2 linked regions of the Rattus norvegicus genome follow. The protein of the gene in region 2 interacts with the protein of the main gene of each other region in a pairwise test. Links are inferred from orthologs where the notes say so. Each region holds a gene or a part of one and is shown on either strand. Other genes may lie near its edges.

What was found.
Region 1: the proteins of Spa17 (region 2) and Myl6bl1 interact in binary tests that used the Homo sapiens proteins (3 or more experiments, as listed by UniProt). The two-hybrid records come from large-scale screens. The link is inferred for Rattus norvegicus from reciprocal best matches to the Homo sapiens genes SPA17 and MYL6B.

The regions. Positions count from the first base shown.
Region 1 is NC_086025.1:1,496,020-1,504,239, forward strand, and holds Myl6bl1 (myosin light chain 6B), read right to left. Parts: upstream 5,140-8,220; coding exon 4,902-5,139; exon of another isoform or gene 4,683-4,901; coding exon 4,539-4,682; exon of another isoform or gene 4,409-4,538; coding exon of another isoform or gene 4,377-4,408; exon of another isoform or gene 3,745-4,376; intron 3,569-3,744; coding exon 3,395-3,568; exon of another isoform or gene 3,069-3,394; coding exon 2,991-3,068; exon of another isoform or gene 2,941-2,990; intron 2,935-2,940; exon of another isoform or gene 2,878-2,934; coding exon 2,849-2,877; 3' UTR 2,596-2,848; downstream 1-2,595. Other genes in the region: Myl6 (myosin light polypeptide 6), read right to left, coding at 464-573, 661-834, 1,071-1,214, 1,982-2,009, 2,254-2,256. UniProt on the Homo sapiens protein: Regulatory light chain of myosin. Does not bind calcium.
Region 2 is NC_086026.1:45,501,941-45,510,004, reverse strand, and holds the start of Spa17 (sperm surface protein Sp17), read left to right. Parts: upstream 1-2,742; 5' UTR 2,743-2,775; intron 2,776-3,213; exon of another isoform or gene 3,214-3,349; intron 3,350-4,561; 5' UTR 4,562-4,588; coding exon 4,589-4,742; intron 4,743-8,064. UniProt on the Homo sapiens protein: Sperm surface zona pellucida binding protein. Helps to bind spermatozoa to the zona pellucida with high affinity. Might function in binding zona pellucida and carbohydrates.

The DNA.
Region 1 (8,220 bases), on a different chromosome or scaffold from region 2:
CTTATTGAGGAATTCCTCCCTTCCCAAGCCAGCTCCATGCAGAGTCATGCCAGGAGGAAGTCAGATGGTAGCAGGGTATGGGCAGGGGCTACAGAGCACAGGCTGGGAAGAAAAAGAAACACTAGGGAGATAACTAGGAGAGGCTGGGAGGAGCCGTACCCGCCCCATGGGCCCGTCACCCCGACAGGATATGCCTCACAAATGCTGCAAGAAGGAAGAGACATTCATGGTGAAGACAAGACACAGACATGGGGTGAGGGGTCAGGCAGTGGGACAGACAATTCTGTTCACTTCCCATCCCTAGCCCACCCTTCAGATTCTATCGCCCCTTCCTTTACTGTTAGGTCTGTCCCCAACAGTTCTCCCAGGCTGACCTGAGCCTTGCCCCTTGACTGCTGGCTCCCTTCTGGAACCAAGTCTAGGAATACAGTACCTCCTTAACATACCCTGAATGACCGTTTCCTCAGAGGCCCCAGTTTATAGTGTGCCCCTTACCTTCATAGTTAATGCAACCGTTGCTGTCCTCATGCCCCGCCACTAGCATCTCGACTTCTTCCTCTGTCATCTTCTCCCCTGCAGAGGAAGGAACATTCTTAGAACTGCATGACGGTGAAATTTATCAAGGTGGCAGCTTAGCTCCACATGGTCACAGACCCTTACCCAGTGTGACTAGGACATGACGGATTTCAGCACCCATGACAGTGCCATTCCCTTCTTTGTCAAACACACGAAGGCCTTCAACATAATCCTCGTAGGTTCCTTGGTCCTTGTTCTTGGCCACAGTCTGCAGCATGGGCAGGAAGTGCTCAAAGTCCAGCACCTTCACATTCATCTCTGTCGTGTGGGAGGTAGAAGTGCCAGACGAGCAGTCACACGTGTTCTCAGGACACAGTGGTAGAGAACACAACTGACTGGCCAGAAGAGGGAGATCAGTGGAACTGGCTGAGATAAAACTTGCTCAAGGTTGGCGCATACACACACACACACACATACGTGTGTGTGTGTACATATACATATATGATGATTTTACCTGAACAACCATGAACCCACTAAGGTCTTGAAATGCTCACCATCGCTCTTGGGGTTCCCCAGGACCTTGAGCACCTCGGCGTTGGTAGGGTTCTGGCCCAGGGCCCGCATCACATCCCCACACTGGCTGTACAGGATCTTGCCATCGCCTGTTCGGTCAAACAGCTGGAAAGCCTCCTTGAATTCTGAGGATTCAGATGAACAGCAGCACCAGGGATTAACCCAGTGCTGCTGCCAACTCAACTCTAGCATGCTGCAGAGACCAGATATCTTGTCCTCCTGTACACCGAAGACTGCGCCTAAGGATCTAATTTCTATCAACTCAAATGCCCCGCATAAAGACACGCAGCCTTCTTCCTTACCTCAAGGTGGTAGCCATCGCTTACACACCCCCTGAGCTACAGCAGGCTAGGCCCTCCACCACCACTACACTGCTCGGCAGGAATTTGCCACCGCCCAGGCTAGGTCCTGCCCATATAAGGAAGTAGAGCAGTGGTCTGGACTCTAGCTTCCCATTCCCACCCTTCCCTTCCAGAGACCTTCCAGGGGGTGAAGCTAAGCCACGGGCTTAGCAAACTCTCCAGTCCCCATCTCAACAGAATATCAAGGCACTGCTCTTTACCGTATTGGCAATCCAAGCTTAAGGAGGGGGCAGTTATCACAGGAGAGGCAAAAGCAGCGGAACACAAGCATAAGAGACCCAACACACAACAGGCAGTAATCATTGTTTCACATACCCACACCACCCAAAACTCACCCAGTGGTTGGGGCTCAGATCTAGAGTGGAAGGGGAAGGAAGAAAGAATGAGAAAGAAAATGGAGGATCTAGAGCCGAGGAGAAGGAAATCCACGGGGCACCCTCCTGGGAGTGCTGGAGATGACAGGTTGGGATCTAGAGGAAGGGGTCCCTCTCGGTAAGGGTGACCTCAGTTGTGGGTCAGAGACTGCCTACCTGCGGTCTGGTCCTCGGTGAAGTCACACTGCTCGGAGAAGAAGGGATTGGTCAGTACTGAGGTCCAATCCCGCAAACTTCTCTCCCGGCTTAACAAACTTCTGTTTGAAGCCGAGGACTTGCTTCCCAAGGCAGAGAGAGCCCTAGACCTTCCAACCCCACATCCAACCTCCCAAAACCTGGGCGTGCCCACGTCCACCGCTTTTCCTACCCCCACCCGCGGTCCTCTCCCTGCCCCAAATCCCCCTAATCTCCCGATTCCCAGGGCCCACCATCTTGGCTGCTGAGCTATGCGGGACCTTTGCCGGCTGTAATGGCTCCGACTCGGGACCCAACCCCAACCTTAGTACGTCCCACGGCGCTTGACGTCACCCTCCGCAGTTTCATCCAATAGGCATACTAGTTTGGGCTCATGCCGATGACATCACTATATTAATAATGAGGTGAGGGGGGCGCTCCAACTCTGCTCAGGAGCACGGCGGAGGCCTAGGGTGTGACTCTTGGAAGCCTTTCTTCCGAACTGCACTAAGAGCAGGGGATTTGGACTTTTGCAGAAGAAAGGACTACCGCTCCCGTCCTTCCCCTTCCTCAAAAGAAACCAGTCGGAAACCAAAGCAGGAACCATGTTTTTATTTCAAAACCGTAAGTGCCCCCTAGTGGCAGGAACGCACTACTGGCCGCACAGGAGGTGGGGCAAGTTTCCGATCCCGCAGGTTCTACGTGGGGTGGGGTGGAGTTGGGTGGGGTAGAAAGAAAGTTGTCCAGCGCTGGCGGCTGCGCTACAGTCGGATGGGGAAACGCACTGCCTGCGCTTGTCTGGTTGACCGGGATCGTTGCCTCTCTAGAGGGCACTAGGGGCTGCGGAGCTCAGAGGCTTAGGATGTGCTTCAGGAAGGCTGCACACACGAGAGGAGAGGAGAGGACTTCAGAAACTGACCTTTGAGTAAACGAGGGTACACTCCCAACCCCCTCAAGACTCCTCACCCCCCTGGTCATCCTGCCCCCTCACCCTCATAGTTGATGCAGCCGTTGCTGTCCTCGTGGCCTGCCAAAACAGTCTCTACCTCTTCCTCAGTCATCTTCTCTCCTGAACCCAAACACAGTTAGAGCCTCTGCCTTCCCGTACTCACTAGTCCAAGCCACTCTCAGGGTGGTTCGTCCTCCCACCCTCCCTGTCGTCTTTCTGTATGGCACTTATCAACAGTTCCTTGGAGCTGCTAAAAGCTTTGATAGACAAAGAAACGAGCTGCAGGGGTTGAGACTTGCATGAAATCCACCCAAGTGTGGCTTGCAAAGAGGGCATGAGGCTCCCACCACGTTCCCTGCCCTCGGCTCATTGCTAGACATCTAGGCTCTACCAGCTCCTCCAGGTCCACCTGCTTCTCCATCCCACAGTTCTGGGCCCTGCCTCACCGAGAGTGGTAAGAACGTGTCTGAGCTCCGCTCCCATGACTTTGCCGTTGCCCTCTTTGTCAAACACACGCAGCCCCTCTAGGTAGTCCTCATATGTGCCTTGGTCCCGGTGCTTGGCCACTGCCTGCAGCATAGGCAGGAACGTCTCAAAGTCTACACGCCGGGACTTCAGCTCTGGCAATTAGACAGAGATGAGAGAGGGAAAGAGAGGGCGAGAGAGAGAGAGAGAGAGAGAGAGAGAGAGAGAGAGAGAGAGAGATATCACTGAGGTGTGGGATCCAACCTTACTATACATAGTGACTTTCATCCCTTTCAGCACTGAGGATGTTTTCCTTCCCTGTGTTTGACAGTTTTTGAGTCCTGAGATCCACCCCGGTCCTCTGTCACCTTACCAAGTCTGTTGAAAATTGATACTGTTACCAGGCACGGCAGTGCAGTCTTGTAACCACAGCTACCAGGCAAGTTCAAAGCCAGCCAAAACAACTTAAGACTATCTCAACGGGGGGGGGGGGGGGGGGGGGGCAGGGATGTATCGAAGTGGCAGGACACACGCAAAGCACAAAGAGAGAACCACTACACTAGTCCATGTGTGGTGGCACACACCTTCAGTCTGAGCACTGACAGGCTGAGTTTGAGGCCAATCTGGTCTATCTAGTGAGTTCCAGGCTAAGCAGGGCTATGTAGAGACGACCCTATATAATAATAATAATAATAATAATAATAATAATAATAATAATAATACCAATAACCCTATCTAAAGAATATTAATTAAAAGTGTAAAGAGAGAAAGAAAACTGGCAACTAGGGCTGCTGTAAGTTCCAGGCCAACCTGAGTAAAAGGAAAAAGAAAAAAGGACTTCCATAATAAAGGGCTTGCCTGTCTTGCCTGAGGCCCTGGAGTCAACCCAGCAGCACCACATAAACTGGAGCAATCGAACTCCAGTGGGCGGTAGACAGGAGGTACAGGTAGGAGGATCAGAGTTCAAGGGCATTCTTGGCTGCGATACCGAAATTCTGTCTCAAAAAACAGGATGAAGAGAAAGTTGCTGGCTAGAAATGGCACTCCGTGGCACGGGCAGAACGCTGTGTTCAACCTCCAACACCAAGAAGATGGAAACCCCACAAATCTCAAGGTTCCTCTCACCATCACTCTTGGGGTTCCCCAGGACCTTGAGCACCTCGGCGTTGGTAGGGTTCTGGCCCAGGGCCCGCATCAGGTCCCCACACTGGCTGTACAGGATCTTGCCATCACCCACTCGGTCAAACAGCTCAAAGGCCTCTCTGAACTCTGAGATGTAGGGAGAAGGCAATGTGACCAGGGATTCCCATCACCTCCAGCCGGAAGGGAGGTTTGCTTTAGAAATTATGTGCTCGAGCTGGGCACAGGAGGGAGGAGAACAGGACAAGTGTGGGAGGTTTCAAGGTCAGGACTGTCGTTAGGGAACAGAGAATCGGACCAGGAGTTTGGTGTTGGACAATGGGGCTTAGGAAACAGGCTTCTCCTCACCCTCCAGCTGGTCCTTGTTAAACTCGATCTGTAGGGGACAAAAAGGGCAGGTGAGGAGATGACAGGGCTTATTCAGTCCCTCTCTAGCACAACCAACTGGCAGCCACTTCTGGGGAGGGGCCCAAAGGGATGAGGCTGGGAGCCCGGCCACTTTAGTCCCATTCCCAGCCCTGGGCTTTGGGAGCACCCCAAGAGGAATTATAGGGGGAGGGTTTCTTGGGAGCAGGGTTAATCCCATACCACCTGTTCCCTTCCCTCCCGCTACCCCAGTCCTGCATCCCTCACATAACTGGGGGCTGAACAAAGGCTAAATTTACCCCTGCCCCCAGCTGTGATTGTCTAACAAGTCTGTCCTCTTCAGTCTCCCCTCCTGGGGTTCAACAGCTGAGCCAGGAGCAGACAGCACCTCTCTCCCCTGGAAACTGGCCTGGCCTGGGAGCCCCAACCTCATTCTAGCGGTTCATTCATTCCCTACCCTTCCCACATCTTCCCGGTCCCCAATCCCCAAGGCTGCACTGCACCTTTGAACTACCCCTTCCAGATTCACACACTTCCCAGGACTCACCACCACTTTGGAGAGATCAACAGGGGGCTCTTGGGTTTTCACAGGGGTCTGGGGGGCAGCTGGCTCGGCCTTGGTCTTGGCTAGAGGGGTCCCTGCTGTAGACTTGGCAGCAGGCTTAGAGATGGAGGGTCCTGCTGGCTTCTTCACAGGAGCATCCTTCTTGGGAGGCATGATGTCAGGTGGCAGAAGAGCAGTGTGCCGACAGGGGCACCATCTCTGTTTAAATAGGCAGGGAGTCTGGGGTGTCAAGGGGCGGGGGCAGCGGCGGGGACAGGGAGCCAGTTGGCAAGGGTGAGGGAGAAGAAACTTCTGCCTGTCTGCCCTCACTCCCCTGGCCGCCTGTGGTAAAGAGCTCTTGCCCCCAAAGTATTCTTCCTCCTGACACCACTCCCCTAAGGCTGAACAGAATGTTTTCTTTAAGGGTACAGGGAAGAAACAAGGGACTTCTCAGAACAGGGACTGGTAACCTCCAGGGTGACGATAGGACGTTTGCCAGTGATTCTGAGATAGGAGCTAAGGGAAGAGAGAAAAAACTAAACTAAAAAGCAAACAAAAGCTTTCATTACTTTTAGACTGTGGAAAAGCCCAAGCAGAGCAAGGACTTAGGGGTGGCATGGGGGTATGGGGGTGTGAAGGGTATGGGGGTATGGGGGCGGGACAGAGTAACAACCTAGTGTCAAGTGGGAAGTTTTAAAATATGTTCTGGAAACATTAAAGGTGAGAGAAGGGGGTCTTTTCACTCCTTTCTGCTCATTCCTGTATCTTTAGAACTCGAAGTCCCTGGGCCCCCACCTACCCCCACCCCCGCACTGTAACCATAGCATGGCATTACCCACTGAATCCTACACCTAATGCTGATTTAGGGGTTCCAGTGTAGGCAAGGTTTAGCATCTGTCACATATAATTCCAAAGAAGGAACATTTTCCAACAAGACAATGTTATTCAAATCAGACAAGAGGCTAGGATGAGGAGACACAGACAGACAGACAGGCAGGCAGGCAGGCAGGCGCTCGTGTGCGCACACACACACACACACACACACACACTCACACTCACACAGAGGGAGAGGACCCTGGGAGACAATGAGCCCTCTAATACCCCAAAAAGGTTACAGAATCTCCTAAGAAGTTGGTAGGTATCCACACTGGCACCCAACCAGTCAGGATCACAACAAAAACCTTGGCTCAGCTTTGAGTCACAAACCTTGCTGGAAGCGCTGGCAAAGGGAAGAGATGATGTTTGGGAGCTGGAAGGGAGTTCTGGCTACTCTCTTCTTGGATAAAGAAGATTTAGGTAGCATTCTGAGAGACTGGTCATTCCACTTAGGCCCTGGAGTTCACAGAGTGGCAGTGTGTCTTCCATTTGTAAAGGCGTCAGAATCTTTTTACTGCAAATTGTCCCATTTTTGGAAAATAAGGAATCCTTCCGCAAACAACACACCAGTTTCCCTCACTTACACTCACTCCTAAGCCTTAGAGAGGAAAAAGGCCCTCCCAGCCCCTCAAAACTCACCTTGCCGGTTCCAAGGAAGGGGCAGGTGGGGGGGCGGGACTCAGGGCAGCTCCGGTCCCTGAAGGGTTAACAGCGGCGGGCGCAGAGCATGCTGGGAGTCGTAGTCCACGCACGCCCACGTGCTCGCAGGAAACCTTCCCCCGGTGGTGAGAGTTGGCGGTCACTTCCGGCCCGTGGTGGCAATTGTTGACTCAGACACTGAGGCGTGCGCCAGTTCCGGAATTGAAAGGGCTTGAGACGTCCCCACCCTTGACCCTAGGGATGCAGACTCAGGGACGCCCGCAAGGCCAGGGGCGGGGCCGGGCGGTAGGCAGGCGGAGGCTGGGGCTGCTTTCGCTTCCTCAGGCCGTTAGCTGCGGCGTCACGTAACTTGAAGAGTTTCGCATTTTTATTTTATTTTTTTACACATTTGATCTTAGCCGAAAAGCCTAGAGGCTGGCGACTGAGGTAGATGTTAAGATTTACAGTTTAGCCTGGTCATCTGCTCCAGACTTTCCTCCGTGTGCAGGCGTCGGCTGACGCCGCCTATGCAGCGCGTTCGTCCCCGGGAGATCCCCAACAAATGCAGCGCTGGGCTCTGCAGCCTTTCCTTCCTTTTCCGACACCATTGCCCAGCCTGAGTGTTTGCTTTCTCCCTAGCGTTTACCGAAGGTTTGGGTGCAGAGAGGGAACCGACCCACCGTCCCGAACCACATAAATAAATAACTCTGGCAGCGCGCCTCATCCTAGAGCTTGTGCAAGAAAGTGGACCAGAAATAGCTCAGGGTAGAAGACTCCCAGCGGCACCGTAGGAAGAATGAGATATAAACCAATTTTGTAGCCAGAAGCTAGAGAAAACTCCGAAGAGTAAAAAGGTCTGTACGGGTGCAAGGGATGTAGCGCAGTTGGTAAAGTGCTTGCTCCCCATGTATAGAGCTCTGGGTCCCAGCACTCAGGAGGTGCAGACAGGTCAGTGGGCACGTAGGGAGTTCAGGCCAGCCTGGGCTAAGTGAGATCCAGTCTCAGAGCGGAAAGAAAAGGAATAACCTGATACAGGAAACAATATTCCAGGTGACTGCTCCGCAGACTGCACACTAATAAAGGGAGTGACCTCTCTCGAGGTACTCTGTGGTGCTGATCAAGACTTCAGGCCCCGCGGAGCCTGTACTGTCATTTGGCCCCCATGTAAAATAACTCTCATGATTAGACATGTTAACATTTTTTTTTCATTGAGACAGGGCCTGTCTACATAGCGCTGACTGT
Region 2 (8,064 bases):
AACTCTAGGACCACAACATCCCAGAATTGCATAAGCAATTTGGCAGCCTGCTGGGGAAACCGGGAGGCATATGTGTGGGAGGGCCCTGTCTTGGGTAGATACAGAACAAAAGCTGAAAAGCAAATGCATAAATAAGAGCTAAGTAGAGAGAAGACTGGAGTTGGAAGGACAGAAGTGAGGAAAATATTGCTTACACAGGCAACAATGTTAAAGTCCATAGGATGGGGAATGCCTTTTCAAGCCAGTCAGTGTTTGCCAACATTCATTTATAGAACCTCTTTGTGAATGGATTTATGATGAGCGAAAAAAAAATCTTAGAGGTGGAAAATATCTTTATAATAATAGTATAGGGGTTGGGGATTTAGCTCAGTGGTAGAGCACTTGCCTAGCAAGCACAAGGTCCTGGGTTCGGTCCCCAGCTCCGAGAAAAAAAAAAAAAAAGAAAAGAAAAGAAAAGAAAAAAAATAACAGTATAATTATGTTACTTACTGATCAAGAGATATAATCTAACCACATTACCCGTCCAGGGACTAGGACACAAATAGATTAAGCAATTTTTAAGAATAATTAGAACAGCTATGAATTCAACAAATATCTCTTTATTGGTTCCTGATACTTTAACATTGAGACTGTAACACTGGAAGGAAAAATAATTCCAATAATAGATAGAAATTCTTGCTACCAAGGATCTTACAATCTACTAGGAGCTTACTTGTGTGACAGAGGGCTTAAGATACTGAAGACGGGCCTTGACTGGCCTCAGAAGGTAGTTTATGACAGAATTAGAATCCATGTCATCTAATTCCCAAGGTATTGCAATTTCCTTTTTGCTGCCGTTACATTGTGATAATAATGCAAAAAAAATTATATTCCCTATCCTGATGAAGCTCACATTCTACGTGGAAAAGACAAACATACTGAGGAACTGGACAATGAACAAAAGAACCGCACCTCAGAAACGCCAGGCATATACAAACGTGGTTATTTTAAGGTGTTGGATGTTTCCCTTCATTTTGTAACTTGAAGTGACAAACAAGAGTGAGTGCTGTGGAGAAGATACCATGATAAGTAGACTAACAAAAAATGTTAGGTTAGCAGTTACTTCTGAAGGGAACCCAGCAGACATACTAAGGAGGACTCTCCTGGCAGTCTTGATAAAAATCACAGTGTTACCATTCTCAAACTGGGTAGCGGAATTTATAGGTCCTTTCACTGTTAAAATGTAACAAAAATGTAGCAAAAGGAGAGAGTTAAAGGAAAGATGTTAGGATGTGCAAGAAAGAGCTAAGGGAGATGATCTGAAGCAAAAAATGAATGAATACTGCCAAGGTAATCAAGGAAGGTTACCTAATATGACCCAAAGGAAACAAAACAGTGATATTAAATTTGACAGCCCTTAAAAAGAAAATTAAGAAAACAGTGGCTCTACCTTCTCCCCACCTCCTGTGATAGGTCCCCAAAATCATAAGAGGATTGAGAGATGGGGACGATCAGTATAGGGTATTAGCTTTGAAATGGAAAACCCACTGACAGGCTGCTGTCTGGCTGGTGCTTGATTAGAACACAATCATGCCATTTCTTGTCATTTCCACCTTCATTTTAATTGCTGTGGTGATGGTAGCCCAAGTTCCTAGCATTCTAGCCAAGAGTTTTACCACCGAGCTATATTCACAACCCCTCAAATTTCATTTATTGACAGTCTTTGGGGTCTACTCTTTCAGTGATCCAAAGAAGAAAAGAGGTGGGTGGATCCAGCATTAACCCTTTACTTTGAATCAATAGATTCCTATCTTTTGGTAACTCCATGGGCAATGTCCAGCCCAGGTTAGTCAGATAACAAGTTGTGACCTGCACAATGGCCATGTGAATCAGCTCCCTCCCCAGTGTGATGAGTCTTACCCTCCACTAATATCTCTCAAGCTGCATCAAAAGTCAGAGCTGAACTTTAAATTATTCTGAGCTAGTGAGGGGGCTGTATTTCTTAGCCCTAATAACCACTTAAACTAGTAAAATGTAATTCCCTCAAGGCACCCATCCCGATAGAAGCCCTCCCCAAGGGCACCACTGAGGGGGCAGGTGTGGAAATATTTTGGATGACTCAGTCACCTGTTTCCAAATATTATCTAACTAGCTTCGCCCCCTTCTCTTTGAGCACTCCTAAAGGCTTCGGTCTGGGGACACTGGAGCCTGCCCCAGTGGGTAAACCGATGTCTTCTCTGCCTTCTATGCTGCAAGTGAAGTACCCCGCAAGGAAAAGGCAGTATAGCTGGGCCCAGCTGTACCCTGCGGCCAGGACTAGGTAGGGTAAGACCGGTTCTGACTCAAGGCCGACCTTTAAAGAGGACGCATGCCAAGATCCTGCAGAGGATCTGAAAGGCAAGCGTCCGCTAGAGTTGTGACACCTCACCTGCACCTCTGCTGACCCGCGCGATTATGAGCAGCAGCATTAGCCCAACAGGCCGGGGGGAAACCATGTTTGAGATGATCCTAATTTACCCGCTCTCAGGAAGAGCCCTCAGGCAGGAGGCGGGGATAAGGACAGAGGCGGGATCTTGCGTGGTGGGCGGGGCCTGGAAGGGTTACCCTAGCGGGCCCCACCCTCAAGCCTTCAGTGCGCGAAACCATCCGCTGTACGGCGCGGCACCGGGTGCTCCCCTCTCCTCCCGGCCGCCGTAGTTTAGAAAAAAAAAGAAAGGAAAAAAAAAGAAAAAACGGTTACCCAGCAACGAGATAAAACACTGGAACCATCCGCACCAGCTTGAAGAGAAAGAAGAGGTGAGGCAGTTTCCCCCACTCCCTCACCAATGTGGAGGCTTCGCCTTTTTCCTTCATGTCGTAGTCTCTCCCCATCCCCAACACTCCCGCAATTCCTGGACCAGATAGGGAGCCTGGCAAGCCCTTTCTGGGAGAACCTGGAACTCTAGGTCATCGACGTCCTGCCCACGGTTTGACCTGCCTTCCCCCTCGACCGTCCGTCCTCCCCCGCTTTTCACAACTCTCAAGATTCGATATCTAATCTCCTGTTTGTGCCCAAAAGAGAAAAAAGGGAAGAATCTCCACACGTTAGGCCTTGTTAAACCTTTAGACCTCCAGCCTCGACCCCAACCAGCGCCGCCTTTGAGCTTCTCGGGGTAACACAAACCCAGGCTCGAAGCTCTTTTGTCAGCCATGTTTAAACCAGTCCTCGAATAATAGAAGAAGGCCTGACAAGACCAGAAAAATAAGACTCCCCAAACTCCAAAAGCTGGCTCCCAAAACCACGACCTCCCTTTCTCAATCCCTTGTCGGAAAGCAGAGGCACTTGAAAACGTTGTAGGCCATAACTTCAGAAGTTGGGGCTGAAAAAAAGGTGAAACTATTCAACAAATTATAATAATTTCTAGAAGGACTAGTTTTTTTGTCTGTTTGTTTAGTTGTTTTTGGGTTCCGAGACAGAGTTTCTCTGCGTAGCCCCTGGCTGTCCTGGAACTCAACAAAGATCCACCTTCCCTTGCCCCCCAAGTGCTGGAATTGACAGTGTGCAGCACCGTGCCCCACCCCCACCCCCGCTAACCAGTTTGTTGTTTGTTTTTTTTTTTTAATTTTAGACTTTAAACAATGTAAAGGGGATTGATTATACTAGCTTCTCAGCAATCACTGTCTCTTCAATATTGTGGGCTAGCACAATCTACCCTCACCTTTTAAGGACAGAAAGACAAGTACTTAATATCTAGTGAAAATCATGGTTCTCTAGCTTTAAAAGTATGTATTTGTCCAATTTAATGGTTCTGCACTTATAGTACTATAATTCACCGAGCATGGAGCATGGTCTTTATCTACCAGGCTGGTTCGAATCCCAGCACTGGGGAGACAGAGGCAGATAAGATATATCTCTGAGTTAGAGGCCAGCCTGGTCTACATACTTCCAGAACAGCCAGAACTGTGTAGAGAGACTCTGTCAAAAAAAAGAAAGAAAGAAAGGAAGGAAGAAAGGAAGAAAGGAAGGAAGGAAGGAAGGAAGAAAGAAAGAAAGAAAGAAAGAAAGAAAGAAAGAAAGAAAAAGAAAGAAAGAAAGAAAGGAAAAAAAAAAAAAGAAAGGTTCAGTGGTAGAATTCAAAACTCTGGGAGAAGGGGTTGGGGATTTGGCTCGGTGGTAGAGCGCTTGCCTAGCAAGCACAAGGCCCTGGGTTCGGTCCTCAGCTCTGGAAAAAAAAAAAAGAAAGAAAAAGAAAAAGAAAAAAAAAACTCTGGGAGAAATGGGTACACTTGGTGGGATGGATTTTATATTCATTTATTTAGTGTGTATGTGTATGGGCACAGCCTTGGTGATACAGCCTTCCTATGGAAGTCAGAGAACACTTTGTAAGAGTCAGTTCTCTTCGTCCACAATATGGTCTGCATGGATTTAACTCAGATCTGCTGAGATAGATCACCAGGGCCTGGATTGTGTGACTTTTTTCTTTTTATAAGTCCAAAATATGGTATGTGTGTTTGAAAAAATGATTTGAGTCATGATGATGAATTGGTTTGTGATAGTTATGATTATGTAATTTAAATTAGACACTTTTTACTAAATCTTTAGGTACCATAGGCAATTCTTTCCGAGGAGATGTCGATTCCTTTCTCCAACACCCACTACCGAATTCCACAAGGATTTGGAAATCTTCTTGAAGGGCTGACACGGGAGATTCTGAGGGAGCAACCGGACAATATACCAGCTTTTGCCGCAGCGTATTTTGAGAACCTTCTAGAGAAAAGAGAGAGTAAGCTCTTTTTTTAAAAATAGGAATTTTAAAATAAACTAAGCATTTCATTATGGTAGAACTTAAGATTGAGGAATATACATGTCTTCAGCCTGTGACCTCCATGTACATGCAAACACATAACTAGTACTCCCCCAACACACACACACACACACACACACACACACAGAGAGAGAGAGAGAGAGAGAGAGAGAGAGAGAGAGAGAAAGAAAAAACTTAAAAATCACAGTCATTGTGCAGAAAACCTTTATGAGGCAAGTGGTTTCAAATACCGCTCTTACTATTTGCAACATGATGTGACAGTTCAGTCTCCAGGCCACTCACTGCATTTCTCACATCTGCAGTATGGAGGAAGGTAGACCTATTCTCATGCATCCCCTGCTAGCTGACTGCCTGTTCTTCCTGAGAGGATAATTTGCAGTTTTCTTTAAATTTTGATTCTTCTCATTTGAAAGTATTATAAGTGTTATAAAAATAATTCAACACTCCTTAGATTAAATAAATTGGGTTTCACTGGGGTATATGAAACTGTTCTTCAACGAAGGCACAGAAACAACCTGTTCTGGCTAGTGAATTGCCAGCTGGGGAAGGTAATTTACATTCTGTATACTTTCCAGGTCTCATCCTGCGGAGAGACTAAGGTTCATGGTAGCAGGGACTTTGATTTCCAGCCAAAAGGAAGTTCCTATACTCCCTTTCCTAAGTACGATTTCCAGATCCCAGCCTGGACGATTCATGACTATGAGAGTCTGGCCTAGAGGTCAAAAGGGGGAATGTTTATCATCATGTTTGTGCTGAAAACCTGCTCTTGCCTGGAACAGTCATGGTATATAAGGTTTGTTACTATTGCCTTAGGCAAAGTAGACTGGAAATACCCCTAAACAAACAGATGTTCCTTCATTAGTCATTTTACAGAGGGAGGAAACCCAGAACACAGGCTAGAATCAAAACAACTCACATACACACCGAACAGCTCCACCCACTGTCCCTTGTGATCCTGCCTTTGAAGAACTCAAAATTTCCACCAGTTTCCTGACTCCTGCTAGTCTGTCTCATATCCAATCAGGGTAAATATTTGCCTCACAATCCACAATATTAGTGGGGGAAGTTATTAAAATAAATTGATAAAAAGTAATGTTTTTATGAACATGAATTTGGTTATAACATTAATTTTTACAAATTCATGCAGTAAAAATCTTTAGTCGTTTGTTTAATTTTAGAACTCGGGAACATACCATTAAAAAATGTTTGAGTGATTGTCCCCAGGTCACAGTAATAAAAACAATTGATGATTAATAGCCTTAGAATATGAGTTCTAATAAAGAAATGGCTAAAACCATTTGGAAAAAAACACCACACCCACTTCCACTTACATCGACTGAGGGTGAGTTACCCACTGATACAGTATGAAAACCTAGCCTTCAGAGTAAAGGCAGATTAAATGATCGTGGACTTCTAAACCCACAATGTCCAGCCTCCCACACAGCAAGAATTCCCCTGTCACCATTTTTCACGGGTGGTTAGTCTTCATTCTTGTTACAGGAAACCTGTTAATAATATACAGTCTAAGTGGTATCTCAAATCATTAGGAAAAAATAGACTTCTTAAATAATATTAAGATCAAAATGAGAAAACAAATTGCATCCATTCTTTACATCTTATACCCCGATAAATTATAAACCAATTCCAGATTGAAATACTAAAAAAGAAACCATACAACCTAATGCTGGGAGAAATATACATCATCCCGTATGAAAAACATCTCACTTGCCAAGTTGCTTCAAACTCAAATGCAACAAGGTTTCTGGAACAGATTGATGGAGCTGACAGCAGAAGATGTCAGCTTGTATGTGACAAAGCAGCACGAAGAAACAAACTAACAAGCCGAGAAAATGCTTGCAGTCTTAGATCCCAGCAGCTCAGTGTGTTAATGAGCCTAATAAACATCTTGTAGAAATCATGTGTTTAACACATCTATACCAAGAGATAAACAGTTCATACAAAGGTAAACACGAATAGCTCTTAACATAAAAAGCTACTCAAACTGACCCATAACAACAATTCCAATCAAAATCACACAAAACTGGGCATATAGAGGTAGCTTGTGGGTTAAGGGCACTTCTGCGCTTCCAGAAGACCCAAGTTCAGACAGCACCACCCAGCTGGGCAGCTTATAACTGCCTGTAACTACAGTTCCAGGGGATCTGACTTCTGTTTCCATAGGCACACATGCACACACACACAAATACAGAAATGAAAAACAGAAGAAATAACACTGAACTACCCACAACCACTATGTCTTCTCAAAAGCCCAAAGTTGGACAGTATGATTTGTAGATAAGGCTAAGAGAAATAAGCCCTTATACTCATTCCTACTAGAGATGGAAAAATACATCCACAGGAAGAGGATTCTGTAGTATCTGTCAAACTTACATATTATTTAACCTTAAACCTCTACACATTTCATTATCCCATCACTTGTGATAATAGCCCAAATACTTTAAATTTTTGCACTGGCCCAAACAACAAGGCGAATCAGTCTTTAATTGTCTAAAACTGTAAATGAAATTGCAAACAAAAATATACCTTTCCTCTTTTAACTTCATTTATCAGAGGTATTTGTGACAGTGATGTAAGCTAATATAGAGTTACTCTGGAAACTTTATAACTATATAAGAGAATAAAGCAAATACGTGTGCTAGTATTGGGGATAAATTTGGAATGTAAAAATAATTTTAAAAATAGTTTATTAAAATTCTGTAGTTTTGAACTTGAATTTTGAAATATCAGTATGGTCTGTTCTCTTTTAAAATGTTACTCAGAGAATGAAGGCTCCTACTGAAAAGCCCGAAGACCTGAGTTCAACTTCCAAGACCCACATGGTAGAAGGGCAGGACAGACGCCTGCAAGTTGTCCTTTGACTTCCCACCATGTGCCAAAGCATGTTTGTGTACATATATACATACATACATACATACATACATACATACATACATACACACACACACATACACACACACACACACACACACACACACACACACACACGGACATGCAAACAGTATTTTAAAATTTTTCTAATGCAAGTAGTTTCTGGCTCCATGCACTTTTGAAACCTCAAAATCATGATCAACCAAATGTTGGTGGACGTCTAGCCCCTAAGTTATCTCTGAATACCATTTCCCGTGAACCAGACCCGAAGTTCCCGAAGTGTAAGCTGCCCATCTTTGGATCCCAGGAAACAAGCTCCCAATTGTTTCTAGGAGCACCCAGCACCTGAATAAGCTACTACTGACCAAATGATGGACAAATAGAGGATCAA